Ovis aries: one gene and its partners. The protein of the gene in region 3 interacts with the protein of the main gene of each other region in a biochemical or structural test. Links are inferred from orthologs where the notes say so. Each region holds a gene or a part of one and is shown on either strand. Other genes may lie near its edges.

What was found.
Region 1: the proteins of BCL2 (region 3) and PMAIP1 interact in a biophysical measurement, tested with the Homo sapiens proteins (2 studies listed by BioGRID and IntAct, with this or other methods). The link is inferred for Ovis aries from reciprocal best matches to the Homo sapiens genes BCL2 and PMAIP1.
Region 2: the proteins of BCL2 (region 3) and NR4A1 form a complex in vitro, tested with the Homo sapiens proteins (2 studies listed by BioGRID). The link is inferred for Ovis aries from reciprocal best matches to the Homo sapiens genes BCL2 and NR4A1.

What each region holds. Positions count from the first base shown.
Region 1 is NC_056076.1:59,079,392-59,083,137, reverse strand, and holds the start of PMAIP1 (phorbol-12-myristate-13-acetate-induced protein 1), read right to left. Parts: upstream 2,320-3,746; 5' UTR 2,158-2,319; coding exon 2,100-2,157; intron 1-2,099. UniProt on the Homo sapiens protein: Promotes activation of caspases and apoptosis. Promotes mitochondrial membrane changes and efflux of apoptogenic proteins from the mitochondria. Contributes to p53/TP53-dependent apoptosis after radiation exposure. Promotes proteasomal degradation of MCL1.
Region 2 is NC_056056.1:134,283,844-134,287,464, forward strand, and holds the end of NR4A1 (nuclear receptor subfamily 4immunitygroup A member 1), read right to left. Parts: coding exon 3,477-3,621; intron 3,393-3,476; coding exon 3,214-3,392; intron 1,430-3,213; coding exon 1,173-1,429; 3' UTR 616-1,172; downstream 1-615. UniProt on the Homo sapiens protein: Orphan nuclear receptor. Binds the NGFI-B response element (NBRE) 5'-AAAGGTCA-3'. Binds 9-cis-retinoic acid outside of its ligand-binding (NR LBD) domain.
Region 3 is NC_056076.1:61,899,172-61,902,865, reverse strand, and holds the start of BCL2 (apoptosis regulator Bcl-2), read left to right. Parts: upstream 1-822; 5' UTR 823-1,907; coding exon 1,908-2,462; intron 2,463-3,694. UniProt on the Homo sapiens protein: Suppresses apoptosis in a variety of cell systems including factor-dependent lymphohematopoietic and neural cells. Regulates cell death by controlling the mitochondrial membrane permeability. Appears to function in a feedback loop system with caspases.

The DNA of each region.
Region 1 (3,746 bases), about 2.8 Mb from region 3:
TTTTTGAGCATCCTGGATGAAGTAATGTTATCTTACTTTCAAATATAGACATTTATGTCATACACCACAAAGAGTGAGTGAGTTTCACAGCCTCAGGTGATCTCATCCTTTTCTTTCTCACTTAAGATTGGCTAGGGAAAGAAAAGTTAAATTCTTTTATGTTATTTTCAAGTACAGCTCATTTTGTAAATGGCAATAATTCATAGTTCTGATTGTGCCCTCATATAATTATTTAAACAACTCTTTCAAGTTTTCTCATGAAAGACTCATAACAGCTTATTCTAAAATTAAGTCCCTATTTTCTAAAATAACTTAACATTTTAAAACAAGTTCTTCCCACTCTGTACCAATCCACTGCCTCTATGGAAATGAGTGAAGCAAAAAACAAATAATGTTTAGTTCACATGTTTACTATTTTTTAAGATTAAGATACTGTAATAAACTGAATATAAGGTGAAAGTAATATTTATAATCTAATTTCTAAGTAAACTTTTAAAGTAAGTGAAATCAACACCAAACCAATACTGACCATAATTACGATTTTCTTGGATAGTTCAAAAAGCAATTCAGCTTCTTTTTCGTACATTTCAATACCATGTTCATGATCACTAAAACCCATTATGACTACAAATTAAAAACTGATTTACTTTGTAAACAGTCCCTGCAAATTCCCTATTTAGGCTCAAAATAACCAAATTCTCTTTTTACAAGAGCTGGGTATTTAGTTAGAAATACTAACACAATGCTAAAAAAACAATTATCGTTCAGCCTACCGTTTTGAAAGACCTGAATTGTAACAAAAAATTATCCCTTTCATCAAAAAAAAAAAAAGAAAATGGCACCTAGTTGTTTCCTTAATCTTTTTATTACATCTATAAATGTATCAATTAAAAACATAACTATGTGTGGTGATGGATGTTAACTAAAGTTGTTACAGTAATAATGTCACAATTGATACATATATCAAATCATTAGGCTGTACACCTAAAACTAAGACAGTGTTCTACCTCACTTACATCTCAATTTTTTTGTCTTACCATCTAATCAAGTTTAAGAGGGACCTTTTTGCTGTCCCTTATTAAGGGGGGCCAAGTTGGACCGTGAAGGTTATGCAATTCTTGCAACACAGCCAGAACTCTTGGACATCACAAAAGATGGACAAAGCTTCTTCCCTCCGAAGCAGGAGCCAGAGAGCAGCCTTGTGCCAACTTAGCCACGGCCACACTGGCTATGCACCACTGCCTTTGCACGCCCCAGGGGCTCCATAAAATTAAGTGTAAAAGGGGCCCAACACTGTCTGATGCAACAGCAGTGTGACCCACACGGATTTCCAGCCCACGGTCTTACTTCCTTGCTACTGCTCCTTAGCAGATGTCTGCCTTATTTGATAAGATTTATAAAAGCGGGGAGGAGGAGAGCTGACCTGAAGTTACTTAATGGGGCTACATGGATGGGGAAGGGCGGAGGAAGGGATGGATTAAACAACACTGTGGACCATCTCCTGTTTTTCTCTATGGCATTTCTGTGATTAATACCGACTGTTAAAATGTTATGCTTTTAACGAAGAAGCCAGGCCTTCCAGGCTTCTGACGTCGTTGGTCCTTTCGGGGCTTCCTTAGCCCTCCATCCGTCCTTTGCAGAACTGTGATGGCATCAAGCGTTATTGTTGGTGCTGGGGCTGGGGACAGCGGTCAGACACACAGAAGGGTCCTCAAAAGGTGCTGGACCCCGGAGGAAAAGGGCCTGTCTCCGGAAGCGCTGAGCGCCAGCGGAGCCCCCGGGCCGTGACCATGACTTTTCTCCGCGTGGCCCCGGGGAGGGCGAGCGCGGACGGAAGGCAGGCGAAGGAGAGGAGGCTTTCGGCCGCCGCTCAAACGCAGCAGCATCCCCATCGCAAGGCTCACCCCTTCCCTCGCCATCCCCACCGCCCCGGGTTAAACCCGCGAATAGCGTCCCGGAGGCGCCCCTAAAACACGTGCCACGGCGCGGGTCCCGCCGGGCTCTTAGGCCCCGGGGCGACGGGCTGCCCCTGCCAGACCGAGACCGCGACCCAGACCCCCTTCCCGGCCAGGATCTCCGCGGGCCCCAGCTCTCCTTACCTGCCGGGACCCGCGTGGGGCTCGGCTGGGCGCTCCTACGAGCCCTCCTTCCAGGCATCTCTGCAGACGGCTGTCGGCAGACCGGGGCAACTCAGCGATGCAACCCGAGCACCTCGGGTCTGCAGGACGCGGGCTGCAAGGGGAGAACGGGCAGGAGACGACGGTCTGCACAGAGCAGGAAAAAACTGAACCGGCGCCTGCAAGAACCTCGCAGCTCTGCGATCGCTGCAGCGCGCGCTCGGGTCGTATGGGGACTTCCCGGTGACGTAGCGAAACCCACAGCGGGCCCCGCCCATGCCCCGCCCCGCCCTGGGCCCGCAACGCCCCCGGCCCCGCCCCCGGCTCGGGCCCGGCGCCGCCAGGGCGGGGACCCAGGCGGCGTGGGGCGAGCCGGGCGCAGCGGGGGAGGGAGCCTGACCCGGCCCCGCAGCTACTTCCTGGACCGAGGACTTGGCTGCAGGCGTGGCTGGGTCTCTGAGCTGCGAACCGGGAAGGGTTGTCCTCGCGAACGGCTGGAGATGGGGAGGCCTGGAGCGTCATCCCTATCATAAACGGGCAGTCGCAGACTCTCGTAAACAAACCCCTGAAGGGTTCGGGAAAGGACAGTATTCAAACTCGAGGAGTACGGGACGTTTTCAGAGAAAAATGAGAACACTTAATTACAGTAGAGAAGCTGCCGGAAGCTTAAATGAAACTGAAACTGGTTGGGAAGCTCACTGCCAACTAAAAGCCTGGAGCAAGAGAGGAAACCCTGTTTGGGTTTGGAAAATGCGTTGAGGGGGTGGGGGGAAGGAAAGCGGGTGAAGGGAAGTGGCTGTTCTCTGCCGCCGGGTGAGGACAGTGGTTCTAAAAGCAGAGTGTATTCCCTACGGGTCGGTCTCATACCTCCTTCCAGACGCTTTAATAAAACAACACCAAAAAATAGTAGGTCATCATGTAGACAGCTTTCAAAAGCTCCCCCGGGGGGGGGGGGGGGGAGAAATGAGGCATTTGGGAATACGTATTTGCCCGATGTTTGGCTGGCCCGGGAATAATTCCATTATTATAAAGAGAAGCAGTCACTCGTACTAGAGAACAGATCCTGTGAATTTGGCTCTGAGGGCTTCCGAAGACACTTTCTCATCCTGTCCTCGGAACAACCCAACCAAGCGGACATTCTCACCATTGTGGCTACTTTCCGGGTGCGAAAACTGAAGGTTTATAAAGATGAAGTGAGCTGAGCTCACACAGGCCGCGAGCAGAGGAGGGGGTCTGAACCCAGGCAGCACCATCCCGAGCAGGACGTCTTACCCGCATCTGCGGCCTTCCCAGGAATCACAGTTTCTTAGAAAATAAGTGTTCTTTATGTATGTGCGTGCGTGCAAGTCGCTTCAGTCGTGTCCGACTCTGCGACCCCATGGACTGTAGCCCACCAAGATCCTCTGTCCAGTCCATGGAATTCTCCAGGCAAGAAAACTGGAGTGGGTTGCCATGCCCTCCTCCAGAGGATCTTCCTGCCCCAGGGATCCAACCTGTGTCTCCTGTAGCTCCTGCATTGCAGGCAGATTCTTTACACGGCTGAGCCACCGGGGAAGCCCTTCTCTCTCTCTCTCTCTCTCTCTCTCTCTATATATATATATATATATATATATCTTTTATTATCTATAT
Region 2 (3,621 bases), on a different chromosome or scaffold from region 3:
CTTCCTGCCAAGAAGGTCAGGGTTACCATAACCTGGGTCCTGCTGCTGGTGCACTAGGCTTGTGGGGAGGGATACTGAAAGTGGGGATGGGGAAAAACTTCTGAGTAAGGACAGTGGCTACCACCATCCTGGGCTGCCCTGGACCCAGCCCTACACTTCCAGGGGACATGTGAGCTAGGGCTTCAGGTTAGGAACTTCCAGGCAAAGCCGGTGGACGAATTGGCCCCCAGCACAGGCCCCATCCACAAGCCTGGCCTGTTCACCAGAGGCTTTCTCCATGTCAGAAACTAGTCTGAGTGCTTTGCCTAACAACCCCATGAAGCAGGTGTCATTACTTTCACCTTTTATAAATGAGTAAACTGAGGCCTGTTAGCCAAGTTGGCAACATGCAAGATTTATGGGAGCTAGGGACTTCCTTGGTGGTGCAGTGGTTGGGACTCTGCACTTCCACTGTAGCGGGTGTGGATTCGATTCCTGGTCAGGGAACTAAGCTCCCATATGCCACCTGACACGGGTTGCCCAAAAATAAAGACTTACAGGAGCCACCTCTGTCTCTATTATGCTGTTTTGGGGGTGGGTGGTATGGGTAGAGGGTGCCAGAGAGAAGATCTCAGCTTCAGCTACATGTCTATTTTTTATTCAATATATTAAATATATTAATCAGAAAAGTCACATACTATAAATCCAGGAAAATACACAAATATAAATGTCAGAATCTGTCATTTGTCTTCCTCCTAGAATGAGTCTATGTACATGTGGAAGGAGGGCGGCAAGAGAGCAAGTAGGAGGCGGCTGGTGGGGGCCCATTCCTCCCTCCCAACCCCCACTCCCACCTCAACCTCTTCCTTCCTGTATTTACAGCAGCATTCGGCTTATTTACAGCATGGCGGTGTGTGTGTGTTAAAAACGGTTTATCTTACAAAAACATGAAGACCAGGGCTGGGCTCGGGGGGTAAGACAAAAAGTAAGGGTCACCCCTGTGAATGCATCCCTCTCCCCGAGGCCATGAGCTCCCTGCTGACCTCCCAGAGAACAAGGGGGAGGGGCAGCCAGTCTGCAGCTCAGGCCCAGGCCGGGGTGATGCTCCGGGGGTCCGTGGGCCATGGGCTAAAGGCACGTGGGGTGGCATTATGAGCGTGCACACTGAGTGCGCACATGTTCCCGGGCCAGGGTCAGAAGGGCAGAGTGTCCATAAAGATCTTGTCGACGATGGGTGGAGGGGGCACCAAGTCCTCCAGCTTGAGGTAGAAGATGCGCTGCAAGCCCTGGGTGCACAGGGTCCGCAGCTCGGGCAGCTTGCCCAGCAGGCGTGACAGGCAGCTGGCCGGCTGGGGCTCACCCGCCTCGGCCGAGACGTGCTCCTTCAGGCAGCTGGCAATGCGGTTCTGCAGCTCCTCTACCCGGCGAGGCTCCTGCAGCCCGTGCCGGTCTGCGGCAGAGGGGGGGCAAGGTGTGGGGTTAGACGCCCTGCCCGGAACCGGACGACCCTCTCCCCCCTGCAGAGTTGGCTGCCCCCAGGTCTCTGGAGCTGCTGCTACTGATCATCTCCCATGCCCCCTCTGCACCCCACGCAAGCAGAGGAGCCCCACTAGAAGCCCAGCAAGGCAGCAATGCTCATCATCCTCATCTTCCAAGGGACAAAGTGAGGCCCAGAGAGGTTACAAGACTTGCCTAAGGTCACAAAAAGGAAATAAAACCTTAAGCAGGTTTCACTGACTAGCCCGGTATTGTTTTTTTGGTTTCTGGTTCCCCCCATCCCAGATGGTAAAGAATCCGCCTGCAATGCAGGAGACCGGAGTTTGATCCCTGTGTCAGGAAGATCCCCTGGAGAAGGGAACGGCTACCCATTCCAGTATTCTTGCCTGGAAAATTCCATGGACAGAGGAGCTTGGCAGGCTACAGTCCATGGGGTTGCAAAGAGCTGGACATGACTAAGCGACTAACACCCCAGACTACTGTGAGAAACCCTGGGTTTGTGTAGCAGCATTACAGATGTCACCTCCAGAGAAAGCAGGCCTCAAAACCCAGTGCTCTTTCTGTAGCCGAAAGTACCTCTGATTCTGTCCTACAGTTTTTTGGTCCTATGTAGCCTTGTGAAACTTAACTTAAATCCACCTTGCAACGCAGGGGACAGGGGTTTGCTCCCTGGTAGGGGAACCAAGATCCCGCATGCCTCAACTATCAAGGCCCATGTGCTCTGTAGCTCATGTACCATAACTAGAGAGTCTTTGCACCACAACAAAAGATCCCGGAGAGAAAGAGATGGGGCAGATTCTGGTGCTTTAACAAATAAAGACCTGAAAGCCTACACATTTAATGCCAAAAACTCCTATCTTGCAGAATTACATTTACATATTCACATGAAGTACACAACCAGCAGAGCTAATCAGTGCTGTTAGCAGTCAAGATGGTAGCTACCCTTCGGGCAGCTAATGACTAAAAAGCAGGCACAAGGAAGGGCTCTGAGGTACTGGTCATGGCTGTTTCTTTTTTTAAATATAACTTTATTTATTTATTTGTTGTTGGCTGTGCTGGGTCTCTGTTGCTCCGTGGGCCTTCTCCAGTTGCAACGAGCAGGGGCTACTCTCTAGTTACGGTGCACAGGTTTCTCATTGTAGGTCTTGTCTTATTTGGAGTACAAGCTTTAGAGCAGGAGGGTTTCAACAGTTGCAGCTCATGAGCTTCAACAGTTGTGATTCCTGGGCTCTAAAGCACAGGCTCAGTAGTTAAGGCACACGCGCGTAGGCGTAGGTGTTCCGCAGCATGTGGGACTCTCCCAGATCAGGGATTGAACCCGTGTCTCCTGCGTTGGCAGGTGGATTCTCTACCACTGAGGCACCAGGGAAGCCCCATGTCTGTTTCTTGACCTGTGTGTTGTTTGTGTGCGTACATTGTGTGATAATTTCCATGCAACATGATTCAGTAAGATTTAAAAAAAACAAACTTTAGGTCACACCTGACACCTACACAGTTAGGACCTTGAGTAGTCTGGGCTCCGTCAGAGGCTGATGGTTTGCCGTCAGCCACAGCTAGGCCTGAAACCCGGCTCTGCCAACCACCAACTGCACTGCCCTGAGCCACGTCTGCCCTCTCTGCATCTTGTCACCCTCACTCCACAATGCAGGGGGCCCAGGAAACACCAGATGCTGGTACATCCAGAGCCAGGCCCTCAGGCCCTCCCCATCTCCCTGGGTCTGGGGACCGGCCTCCCACCTGTGATGAGGACAAGCGCGGAGAGGCAGGCGAAGGCAGGGATGTCTACCACCAAGCTGTGCAGGGAGCGAGAGAAGGCCAAGATGCTGTCGATCCAGTCCCCGAAGCCACGGGCACATTGCAGGCGGTGCAGCACCAGGCCTGAGCAGAAGATGAGCTTCCCCTCGGCTGGTTTAGACCTGGCAGGTTGGGTGCAGACAGCCGTTAGAGGGGCTGGAGGGCAGGGCGCCGGCCAAGGGCTGAGCACACAGTGGGACACTCACCGGTAGGCCAGACGGAGGATAAAGAGCTCCAAAAAGGCAGACTCCAGCAGCAGGTCCTGGTCTCCGGGAGACAGTTCAGCAAAGCCAGGGATTTTCTCGGCCCACTTGCGGATCACCTCCAGGGAACCCGAGAGCAGGTCGTAGA
Region 3 (3,694 bases):
CTCTCCTCTCGGGGGCCGGCGCCGAGGCCCCCGCCCGGGGTCAGCATCGGCCGAGGGTGGACCCCGCGTGCGGGACGCGCGCTCACGCCACGCGCGCGCCCGCGCCGAGGAAGGGGCGCCGCGGCTCCCGGCGCCCGTTTTCTCGGGGTCCCCCCCGCCCCCCGCCCCGCGCCTCCGCCGCCCGGCAGCCGCCCCCCCGCCGCGGGCGGTTCCCCGGGCGCCCCCGGCCCCTCGCGGGCCCCGGAGACCCCGAGCGCGCGCCCGGCCGCCGCAGGCCCGAGGAGGCCCCTCGCCGCCGCCCGCGCCGCCCGCGCCCCCCACCCCGGCCGGGCGCGCGGCGCGGGCCCCCCGAGCCCCCGGCCCCGCGGCCCCCGCCCGCAGAGCCCCCGGCGGGGCGCGCTCCGCGCCGGCCGCGGCGCCTTTAACCCGGCCGGGGGGGGCGGCTCCGGGGAGGGCCCGTCCTTTCTTCTTTTTTTGAATGAACCGTGTGACGCACGCACAGGAAACCGGGCGGTTCGAGCGGAGAATGAAGTCAGAGGCCGGGCCCCCCGCGCCGCCCCCTTCCTCCCGCCGCCCCGCCCCGCGCCCGGTCCCCCCGCCGCCGCGAAGGTGCGGGCGCCGGGCCCCCCCCGGGCGGCGTCCTCGGCCGGAGCGCGCGGCGCGGGGGCGGGGAGAGGGTGCGCGGCCCGGAGGCGGGGTGCGCCGGTGGGGTGCAGCGGAAGAGGGGTCCGGGGGGGGAGAACTTCGGAGCAGTCATCCCTTTTTAGGAAAAGAGGGGAAAAAAAAAAAAAATAAAGCCCTCCCCCGCCAGCGCCGCCTCCCACCCTCGCGGCACCACACACAGCGCGGGCTCCTCGCGCTCGGCACCGCGGGGCCGGCGCGGCCAGCCTGCGTCTATCGGCAGCTCTTCGGAAAATGCCTTGGCCGTTCGGAGTTTGATCCGGAGAGGATCCCCGCCCGCGTCCGCCGCTCGCCCGCCGGCTCCGGCCCGGTGTTTTCTCCCCGGGGAGGCGTGAGGCGGCCCCGCGGACACAGACCCATGTGTGTGCCCGCGCGTGTGTGCGCGCGTGAAAATTGCCGAGAAGGGGAAAAATCACAGGACTTCTGCAAATACCGACTGAGAAATGGTAATTCATCCGCCGCCGCCGCTGCCTTCCGTTTGCTCGTGCTCTTGAGATCTCCGGTTGGGATTCCTACAGATTGACATTTCTGTGAAGAAGTCTAGGAATCAAACTGGAAATTCTCCTAAATTTTTGCACCCCCCTCCCCCAACTCCTGATTCATTGGGAAGTTTTCAGAGCAGCTCTAACTGGAGAGTTCTGAAGATTGATGGAATCTTTTTGCCTTTTCATTTGTTTTCACAAAAAAGGAAACTTCACAGAGGATCATGCTGTCCTTGAAAAATACCAGTAAGTTCTTTGCACAGGAAATTGGTTTAATGTAACTGTCAGTGGGAACCTTTGCGATTTTCACTTTAAGTGCATTGGAGTAAGTTTAAATTTCCAGGCAGTGTAATATATTCTTCTCAGCGTGTAACTTGTAGTGTGTGTGTGCCCTGCTTTCAACCAGCGTGCAGAGGGAAACGCACCTGATTTTGACTGATTAGTTTTTTTAACCTTTCAGCATCACGGAGGAGGTGGACTGATATTAACAGTAATTAATAATGTGCCTCATGAAATAAAGATCCGAAGGGGATTTAAGTAAAAATTTCCAGGATCTCATGCCAAGAGGGAAACACCAGAATCAAGTGTTCCGCGTGGTTGAAGACACCCCCTCTTCCAGGAATGCAAAGCACACCCAATGAAATAGCTGGGTTGTAACTCTTCCCCCCATCTGCGGGGCCGTGGGGCGGGCAGCGGGGGGCGAGAGGTGCTGCGGGGGCCCGGCTGCCCTCCCGCGGCGGAAGGATGGCGCACGCGGGGGGCACAGGCTACGATAACCGCGAGATCGTGATGAAGTACATCCACTACAAGCTGTCGCAGCGGGGCTACGAGTGGGAAGCCGGAGCCGCGGGCGCCGCGCCCCCCGGGGCCGCCCCCGCGCCGGGCATCCTGTCCTCGCAGCCCGGCCGCGCGCCCGCGCCCTCCAGGACCTCCCCGCCGCCGCCCCCGGCCGCCGCCGCCGGGCCTGCGCCCAGCCCGGTGCCACCTGTGGTCCACCTGACCCTGCGCCAGGCCGGCGATGACTTCTCTCGGCGCTACCGCCGCGACTTCGCCGAGATGTCCAGCCAGCTGCACCTGACGCCCTTCACCGCGAGGGGACGCTTCGCCACGGTGGTGGAGGAGCTCTTCAGGGACGGGGTGAACTGGGGGCGCATCGTGGCCTTCTTTGAGTTCGGAGGGGTCATGTGTGTGGAGAGCGTCAACCGGGAGATGTCGCCCCTGGTGGACAGCATCGCCCTGTGGATGACCGAGTACCTGAACCGGCACCTGCACGCCTGGATCCAGGACAACGGAGGCTGGGTAGGTGCTCGTCTGGGTGTGAGCCTGAGCCGGCGGTCCGAGTGGCGGGGTGTGGCTGGGCCCAGGGTCAAGGGCAGGCCAGTGGAGTGGAGCCAGGTGTGTGGTCTCCCTTTCTCTTCCCCTGCAGAGAGCTCTCCCTGCCGGCCCCACCGCGATCACTCCTTCCCCGGAGACATTGCTTCCCTTGCGCCAGCTACTGAGGTCCAAAGATCCAGCCTTTGCTGCTCAGTAGAATTTGGGGATAAAGGGCATCCCTTCGAGGTTACTGAAACTGGGAGTCCAGGGATCCCCATGATCACGGTACCTGGTGGAGTAGCTTATTGAAAAGGAGCATTTCAGGGACAACTCATAAGCTGGATGCCAGGCTGAGTCCTGACTCTCTGCATCAGAAATGAGCTCCCCTGGGGGGGTGGGGGTGGGGGTTCTGCTTTGTCCTAAAATTTGAAAACCACTGATTAGAAGAGCAGACTCCTCTAGAGGCCCAGGAGCCTGCCTTCTCTGACTCACTTGGTAAAATCTACCCAAAGAGGAAAACCAGTGTAGCCCCTTTCCCTAGAAAACCTGGATGATTGTGAAAAGGTTAAGTTGACTTCCAGAGTCTGTTGACACTGACCTCCAATGTGTGCCGCGTTCATAGTGGGCATGACCTTGTGTCTTGAAGAACCCTAGGCTGTGGGCGTTTGTTTCATCACTGACGGGTTTCGCGTTGGCCGCCTGTCTTGTATTCTATTTCTATAACTTGTGTATGATTTAGAAGTTCACTGGAATTTTTAGTGTATTTTATTTTCCACCCTAACCTACAATGCACATCGTTTGGTGGGATCCTCTGTGGGGCAAACTTGCGTCCAGAGTATCTATATAAAGATAGAAGAATTGATTCTTAGCTGTGGATTCTCATGCTGTGACTTTAGTTGAAGTGATTGATGCTTGTATTTTTGAAGAACATCTGTGAGCTGTGTTGTTTTTTTTCCTGGTACTGTTGTGCTAGACGGAGCCTCCGTCACGGCACCATAAAGCTCTTTCTGTGAGCGTGATTCTCTGGGGGAGGGGCACAGCTCATAAGACTGAAGAAGTGTCACTGACATCTACACCTCATATCTGAAATGATCAATTTGTGAAAAAGTGAAAGAGGAATAACTCTGGTTCAAGGTTTTGCAGACTTTTTGTTTTAATCTGAAGAGCTGTCCTGAAAAAGGATGCCATTCAGTGGTTCCTTTTACAGTCGCCAGGAG